2 linked regions of the Macaca fascicularis genome follow. The protein of the gene in region 2 interacts with the protein of the main gene of each other region in a biochemical or structural test. Links are inferred from orthologs where the notes say so. Each region holds a gene or a part of one and is shown on either strand. Other genes may lie near its edges.

What was found.
Region 1: the proteins of CRK (region 2) and DOCK1 form a complex in vitro, tested with the Homo sapiens proteins (3 studies listed by BioGRID and IntAct, with this or other methods). The link is inferred for Macaca fascicularis from reciprocal best matches to the Homo sapiens genes CRK and DOCK1.

What each region holds. Positions count from the first base shown.
Region 1 is NC_088383.1:135,959,920-135,964,693, forward strand, and holds part of DOCK1 (dedicator of cytokinesis protein 1), read left to right. Parts: intron 1-104; coding exon 105-262; intron 263-1,368; coding exon 1,369-1,450; intron 1,451-2,199; coding exon 2,200-2,335; intron 2,336-4,774. UniProt on the Homo sapiens protein: Involved in cytoskeletal rearrangements required for phagocytosis of apoptotic cells and cell motility. Along with DOCK1, mediates CRK/CRKL regulation of epithelial and endothelial cell spreading and migration on type IV collagen.
Region 2 is NC_088390.1:1,530,876-1,535,072, reverse strand, and holds part of CRK (adapter molecule crk), read left to right. Parts: intron 1-3,052; coding exon 3,053-3,190; 3' UTR 3,191-4,197. UniProt on the Homo sapiens protein: Involved in cell branching and adhesion mediated by BCAR1-CRK-RAPGEF1 signaling and activation of RAP1.

The DNA.
Region 1 (4,774 bases), on a different chromosome or scaffold from region 2:
ATGCCAATGAATTATTACCTTTTTCTATTCTGTAGGGAATAAAGAAAGCAAGTGTTAGTGATGAGCGTTGCTGGGGTTGACTTTCTGTTTCCTTCCATTCACAGTCTCAAAAGCAGAACATAGATATTAACAGACAAGCCAAGTTTGCTGCAACCCCTTCTCTGGCCTTGTTTGTGAACCTCAAAAACGTGGTTTGTAAAATAGGAGAAGATGCGGAAGTCCTCATGTCTCTGTATGATCCTGTGGAGTCCAAGTTCATCAGGTAGGTGAAATTTCTTGGCGGCTGTCTTTCCTCTTTGGTTGGTGTTAGGAACGTGGGATCAGAACCACTGACGCGCGCCATTCATGCCGAGAGGCCCCGGATGAATGGCTGCTGGACACGACCAAGCAGCCGAGCCAAGCGCTGTCTTGGACAGTGTGATGGCAGCCAGTTTGGGCTCTGGGTCAGGGTGAACCTTCTCGCGTGTAGATTGCTATTTGTTTGTAGAGTTATAGCAGTTGCAGGTACACTCTGGTCATATCTTAAGAGTGCAGCTGAAGATTGAAGTAATACTTTGTTTCCTAAGTTGTCTTCATAAGATTTTATGTACCCTGGTCCCTCAAATATCACTATTTCCATTTTTCAAAATTTGGTTTCTTTGAATGCCACTTCTGTGACTTTCATCCTGTTGTTTTTTCTGCAAGATGATTGACTGGAATGCATCATTTAGAATGGTGCCTGCCACATACAGACTGTCAATTAATATTTGTTAAATGAAAACACTGTAAGTCTGTTATTCCTGCTTAGCCTTCAGTATAACTTTCTCTTTGCCCAGATGGAAACACTGTGGTTCAATTATGTATGAATTGTGTGTGTGTGTCTGTGTATATGCTAAAACTCTAGGATCTTCACTTGTATTATTCAAAATTTGAAAACTTAGTGTATGAATGATACAGAAAAATATGAGTGGATTTTATTCTCACTTCTGGTAAAGACTTTGTTTCCTCTTGACATGGGATGCAGTTTTTATTTTACAGTGTATTTGGTTTGTCATAGGTTTTGAAATAAACATGCATTGTGCTGAATTTTATAGTATTGTCATTCTAAATGAACAAATAGGCTCTTAAAAAAAAACCAACTTAGAAATACCATTTGCAAGTAATTCCATTACAGTGACAACCCAAGACATCCCACATTAAAACTTGGCAGGGATTTTCTGCTGTGGATGTTAATTGATGAGTAGCTGTATGTGATATTTTTGATATTTATAAACTCATAGTTGTCTGTATAGTGCACCTACGTGGTATTAATTATGAAGCAATGTGGATGTACATTTGGTACTCTGTTATTTGGAAAATTAACTTGCTTTTATTTCTCCCTTTTTCAAGTGAAAACTACCTGGTTCGCTGGTCCAGTTCAGGATTACCTAAAGACATAGACAGATTACATAATTTGCGAGCTGTGTTTACTGTAAGTGCACGCAGAGATGTTTGGTTGAATTGGCCACCATTCTAATGACTACTTTTAGTGATTTCTCTCGGCCTTCCTGCCACACTAGAACATGGGTCCCTGGGATGCCTGTAGTATCGGTTAATTTAGTATTACTAAGTAGAGTGCCTTTCCGGAAATCTTTTGAGTCTCTAGCCACCCTTAGAATGACCGTGACAAAGATTTACCCCATTACCATGGAATGTGCCTCTTAAATGTGTATCTTTTTGTTTTTTTTTTTTTTTTCCTCCAGACGGAGTCTTGCTTTGTCACCCAGGCTGGAGTGCAATGGTGTGATCTCAGCTCACTGCAACCTACACCTCCTGGGTTCAAGCAATTCTCCTGCCTCAGCCTCCCGAGTAGCTGGGATTATAGGCACACACCACCACACCTGGCTAATTTTTTGTATTTTTAGTAGAGATGGGGTTTCCCCATGTTGGCCAGGCTGATCTCGAACTCCTGACCTCGTGATCCACCCTCCTTGGCCTCCCAAAGTGCTGGGATTACAGGTGTGAGCCACTGCACCCAGCCCTTAAATGTGTATCTTAAGCTCACTTAACAGTAATTGATTATTGTTATTAAATTCCTTTCTGTCATATGAATAACTGATTAAAATTATAAAAATGAGTCTGAGAAAAGAGTCTCAATCCATTTTTTTTACTGTCCTTTTCATTGGAACTTGCATTGAATAATGGTTCTCCAAAATAATTTATGGAAACTAATATTTCCAGGACCTCGGAAGCAAAGACCTGAAAAGAGAGAAAATCAGTTTTGTCTGTCAGATTGTTCGCGTGGGTCGCATGGAGCTGAGGGACAACAATACCAGGAAACTGACTTCGGGGTTGCGGCGACCTTTTGGAGTGGCTGGTAATCCATTTCTCTGTGTTTCCTTGAGAGTTTCAGATCTTCACAGTCACTTTCAAAAGAACCACTGCTGAATGTTGATTGGTCAATGGGCAGCTTTGATTTATAAGCTTTTCTGCTAGAGAGAAAAAATATATTTATTAGTTATTTTCATTGTGGCTTCCAGTTGACCTGCTAGGCTCAGGATGTTCTAGGCCTCAAGTTTCAGATGTAAATCATATATTTGGTTTTAAAGTGGATCTCATCTTTCCCTGGGAGAGATCCTGACCCATATTCTCAGTCTGTAGGAAAGCCAGTCAGTGGAGGGTTTCAGGTCTTGGTGATGGACATCAGAATGGATTTGTGCAGGACAGTCAAAGCAACGAAGGGGAGGAAAGAAAGCAAACCGTGAAGAGGACGCAGTTAGCTTCATATTGGTGCGCTTCCTCCGCCACGTGGGTGCGCTTCCTCCGCCACGTGGGTGCGCTTCCTCCGCCACGTGGGTGCTCTTCCTCCGCCATGTTGGTGCTCTGTTATTTTTGGTGACAGCACGAGGAATGTGAAAGACCAGTTATCTCTGTTGAGGAAAGATAAAGGCATACCAGGAAGTTCTAATTATTTGCCCTATTTCAATGTCACTCTCATTTTTCATAGTTTTGGGAAGTGGTTTTCTCTCTTTAATGGTTGCTACAATTTCATTACTTAGCACTCTGATATTTATTTTATGTTTGTGATTTTTGGGATTCATGTGAATATTCATGTGGGAAAGGTTCCTGATTCTTGACACACAGCTGGATTTTTTGTATGAACAGCCGTGGAAGACGTTCTTTGCCTTGGCTACCAGGAAACTCTGAACTTAGTCCATTCCCCCCCTGCCTTTTGAATAAACATTATTTTTAGAAAGGTTTTAGGTTCAAGCAAAATTGAACAGAAAATATAGACAGTTCCTATATATTTCTCCTTCCTTCCCCCTGCGTCCCCATTATCAATATCCCCCATAGATTGGTACATTGTTTGCAGTTGGTGAACCACATTGACACATCGTCGTCCTGTGAAGTCCATAGTTTACATTAGTGTTCATTCTTGATGTTGTGCCTTGTGTGGGTTTCGACAGTTGAATAATACTGTATATTCCCCATGGTAGTGCCACTGGGTAGCTTCACCATCCTAAAATTCCTATGTGCTCTGCCTGGAATTTTTGGAAAAATATTTCAAGTCATTTAAATGATTTACTATATCATAAGAAGTAAGCCATAGCAGTGATATAGACATAATGAGAGCAGCATATTAATTCAGTTTACTTGAATTCAGTTTACCCATAGAGCTAACTAACGGAGTGTTCCAATGATCTTACCATTTGTGAGTGAAATGGTGAGGGTGAGGTTTTCTTTCTGAAGTCCCCACAACCTTGGGCTGGGGAAATCCTTTTGCATTTTCATCTCTCTGTCTTTTTGTTTTTAAGAGACAGAGTCTAACTCTGTCACCCAGGCTGTGTGATCACAGCTCACTGCTGCCCTGACCTCCTGGGCTCAAGTGATCCTCCTGCCTCAGCTTCCTGAGTAACTGGGACCACAGGCGCGCCCCCTCATGCCCTGCTAACATTTTCATCTCATGACTTGAATACATACTTGAAAATTGCCGCTCTATTTGTCAGAGCCTGTAGCATCTTTTACATGTAATCTAGTGTTATATTTAATTACCTTTCATTTTCCAGGATTTTTTTTTTCTTTTCCATCTTGATGGTAGTTTTAAGAAAATATTTAATTTTTGTCTCAGACATAATTGGCTCCATTTGAGCAATCAGAGACATTTTTGATAACACACGGAAGTCACTCCTCTTTTCAACAGCAGACCTACAGATTCTCTGGTTATTAGATTACAAGATGGATTATGTCATAAGTGCCTACGAATGCGTAGTTGTATTTCTTAAAGGTGAAATCTAGACCACAGGCTGACAGTTTTTACCTTCTTTTGATTAAAATTTTTGGAATTTAAAAATTTGGAATATTTTTCAGTTTTCATTGGATTGACAGTCCATGAAGGTCTAGGTACTAATGGATGGAGAGGCTGATGGGCATGGGCTCAGCTGACACCACTGTGGCCTTTCACTGTTTCTTACATGCTCACTTACGCTTGCTTGGTGGGGTCTAGAGTTAGGTTGGGCCCCCCAGCTCCTGGAGTTCTCCATGAATTATGGAAGCCCAGGTTATTCACTGGGGTAAAGCGGGCACCTGGGACATAGTTCCTTGTTTCTGGAGCCCCCACCTGTGTAGTGTTGGCTGAGACACTACATCTGGTCACTGGAGTTTGGATCCCTGGCTGTGCGGCCACCAGGGACTTCTGTGCCCTGATATCTGCTGACCACACGGACACCCCCTGTGGTCCCTGGTTCCTCCTGTCAGAACTGGTCTCTGGTTCCTTCCTTTCCTGTCTTGTGTCCCTGGCACCCACTGATATTGGGGC
Region 2 (4,197 bases):
GGTGCGGAGGCTCATGCCTGGAATTAGCTGGGCATGGTGGTATGCACCTGTAGTCCCAGCTACTCGGGAGGCTAAGGTGGGAGGATCCCCTGAGCCCGAGAGTTACAGGCTGCAGTGAGCCATGATGGTGTCACTGCACTCCAGCCTAAGTGACAGAGTGAGACCTTGTCTCAAAAAATAAAAGATAAAAAGCATAAATGGGCTTTGGAACCGGATAGCTCTGGGCTCAAATTCCCAGCTCTGTCACTAACTGCCGCCTCTGTGGCATGTGTATCATGCCATTTCTCTAAACTGCCGTCTTTCGATTTGTAAAATGAAAGCAGTTCCTGTATTGCAGGATGATTATGAGGATTGGAAAATACCTTATATTTTAATGTAATATAAAGTTATAAAATATAAAATGCCCTCTGCTATATAATAATTCAGTAAATAGTAGTTGGTTTAATAAAACCAAATGAGCCGGGCGCGGTGGCTCAAGCCTGTAATCCCAGCACTTTGGGAGGCCAAGATGGGCGGATCACGAGGTCAGGAGATCGAGACCATCCTGGCTAACACGGTGAAACCCCATTTCTACTAAGAAATACAAAAAAAAAACTAGCCGGGCGAGGTGGTGGGCGCCTGTAGTCCCAGCTACTCGGGAGGCTGAGGCCGGAGAATGGCGTGAACCCGGGAGGCGGAGCTTGCAGTGAGCTGAGATCCGGCCACTGCACTCCAGCCTGGGCTACAGAGCGAGAGACTCCGTCTCAAAAAATAAAAAAAAATAAAAAAAAAATAAAACCAAATGAACAGAGTATGCCCAGAATTCAAATATTGATACTTAAAGGATGGTCATAAAACTCTTTAGTCCAGTGGCATGGCATCTGAGGCTGTATTTCACCATTCAGCATTTTGCCATGGGGTGAATCCATTCATCAGACTGACCTCTGAAGTTTCATAGCAGGATAGAAATATATCATAGATTGTTAAAACTTTATATTTCGGCCGGGTACAGTGGCTCACGCCTGTAATCCCAGTACTTTGGGAGGCCAAGGTGGGCGGCTCACGAGGTCAGGAGATCAAGACCATCTTGGCTAACAAGGTGAAACCCATCTTTACTAAAAATATTTTAAAAATAGCATCCAGGTGTGGTCGCGGGCACCTGTAGTCCCAGCTGCTTGGGAGGCTGAGGCAGGAGAATGGCGTGAACCTAGGAGGCGGAGCTTGCAGTGAGCTGAGATCCCGCCACTGCACTCCAGCCTGGGTGACAGAGCGAGACTCTGTCTCAAAAAAGAAACAAAGGCCGGGCGCGGTGGCTCAAGCCTGTAATCCCAGCACTTTGGGAGGCCGAGACGGGCGGATCACGAGGTCAGGAGATCGAGACCATCCTGGCTAACACGGTGAAACCCCGTCTCTACTAAAAATACAAAAAACTAGCCGGGCGAGGTGGCGGGCGCCTGTAGTCCCAGCTACTCAGGAGGCTGAGGCAGGAGAATGGCGTAAACCTGGGAGGTGGAGCTTGCAGTGAGCTGAGATCCGGCCACTGCACTCCAACCTGGGCGACAGAGCGAGACTCCGTCTCAAAAAAAAAAAAAAAAAAAAAAAAAAAAGAAACAAAAAAACAACTTTATATTTCATTTTGCAACGAGACATTTCGTAAATACATGCTGAAATACAGGGGGGTTTTTTGTTTTTGTTTTTTGAGGCAGGGTCTGGCTCTATTGCCCAGGCTGGAATGGAGTGGTGTGATCTCAGCTCACTGCAACCTCTGCCTCCTGGGCTCAAGCAATCCTCCCACCTCAGCCTCCGGAGTAGCTGGGACTGTGAGCGGCCACCACCACACCCAGCTAATGTTTGTATTTTTTGTAGAGATGGGTTTCACCATGTTACTCAGGCTGGTCTCAAACTCTGAGCTGAAGCAATCCATCCACCTGTGTCAGGCTCACCAAGTGCTGGGATTGCAGGCATGAGCCACTGTGCCCAACCATAGTTGGTTTTTTTGACCCCTCATTGGGTAATGATCAGGTAATCAGCAGCATTGAGGGAGCAGCAAGGTCTGTCGAATGGTGGGATTGGGGGGCTGGGCAGGCAGTGGCTTGTCAAGTAGAGCTTGCTTAATGAGGTGGGGGTTTTCTGAGAGCTAATTGGATTTGGAGTTTGGACCTCTACCTGCCCATACGGGAAAAGGCTTGCCTTGGTCAGGAGGTGATGGGAACACTTGATTTTCTAGGACCAAGTGACCTATGCTTGCCATGATCAGTTTCTGCTGTGCAAGCGGTAATAGACCAGGACATGTGTGCGAGTGGGCTGGGGGACTGTGCTGCTGCCGGACGCTAAAGATGGGAGAAGGTGGCCGGGCACCGTGGCTCACGCCTGTAATCCCAGCACTTTGGGAGGCCAAGGCGGGTGGATCACGAGGTCAGGAGTTCAAAACCAGCCTGGCCAAAATGGTGAAACTCCATCTCTACTAAAAATACAAAAATTAGCTGGGCATAGTGGCGGGCACCTGTAGTCCCAGCTACTCTGGAGGCTGAGGCAGGAGAATTGCTTGAACCTGGGAGGCAGAGGTTGCATTGAGCTGAGATCATGCCATTGCACTCCAGCCTGGGCAAGAGAGCAAGACTCCATCTCAAAAAAAAGAAAAAACACAAAAAAAGAGGGGAGAAGGTTGCTTCTCCTCGGACAGGGTCTGCGGAGCAGGTAGAAAGCCGAGGGTAGTGAGTACAAAGAAAGGGAATACTAGCTCACTCACTGAAGTGGGGATTGCTTGTTCAGAGACACTTGAGATTTCCAATAATTACCACTTTCCTTTTTTAATCAAAAAGTATCATTATCTGGGATCCTGTTTTACTTTCTGTATTCTCTGTTTTTCTGCACTGCTAAAAACACTTCTTCCTTCTGCCTGCATTAACCACAAGGAATCAGTCTGGTGGCTGGGGCTGGGGAGGCAGCAAGGGGCCATTTCTGTCACATCCCTAGAGCAATCACATGGGCAGGGTGTGCTGACCAGAGAACGGAGTTGTGCAGCTGCATTCCTAACTGGAAATAAAGTGCTCTCCTTATTCTCCTCCTGCAGGTCGGTGAGCTGGTAAAGGTTACGAAGATTAATGTGAGTGGTCAGTGGGAAGGGGAGTGTAATGGCAAACGAGGTCACTTCCCATTCACACATGTCCGTCTGCTGGATCAACAGAATCCCGATGAGGACTTCAGCTGAGTATAGCTCAACAGTTTTGCTGACAGATGGGAACAATCTTTTTTTTTTTTCCAGCTGCCATCTATACAGTTTTCTTACAGATGTCAAAAGCAGTCTAGTTTATATAAGCATTCTGTTACCTGTGATCTTTTTTTAGACTGAACTACTCCATTCCTAGTCTTCTGTACCATATTCAGGGTACGAACTGGAGGGCTCGTGTGTTAGCTTCTGAAATTGGCAATTGTAGGAGGTAGTGGCCGTGCCTGTGTGTATCAGAAGGGATAGGTATCTTGCCTCCTTTCTCTCAGGCAATGCAAATCACCCTGTGGAAAACCGATGGACAGGAAGGAGTATTACACACTGCTTACCCTGATTTATTCAGTGGTTTTGTTTTCATTCTGGAACCATACTATCAAATGGCGACAGACTGTTCCCTTCCACCCCCGGGAAGTAATGCACTGTGTGAATAGTATCAAGCAGGACTGCTTTCATTGTATGGAGCATGACCAGCATATGACTCATTCTGACATTTCAGATCCTAAGAATTCTAAGAACACTACTAGAAGCATTTGTTCCTTCCTAGTCGATGCTTCATACTTTTTCTTGGGATTCTTTTAGCCCTTGACATTCTTGTCCCCCAAACCTGTAAGTAGGTTAATTCCTAGGATAAGTGTGTATTTTCATTCCAGGTGAGAAGCAGAATGTACCGAGCACTTTATTCAGTGCATAGCTTTAAGCCAGTGTTGGATTCACTAAGTGGACAGCCAGTCTCCCAGCTCTCTGCCTTCCCCTAAAGGGTCGTAGTAGGTCACCCTTCTACAGCAGTTAACTAGAGTCCTAACTGATGGGATCCAGCAGGGCCATTTCTCTTGAAGGCCAGTATCCTATTAGGAGACTCTTGGAATTCTTAGGTTCTACTCAGAGTGGAAGGACCAATCACCTCTAATATTCTGTGGAAGGTTTTGGGGCCAAATTCTGCCCTCTGCATTCTGTGCAACTTGTATAAAAGTCAAGTTAGTATTACATGA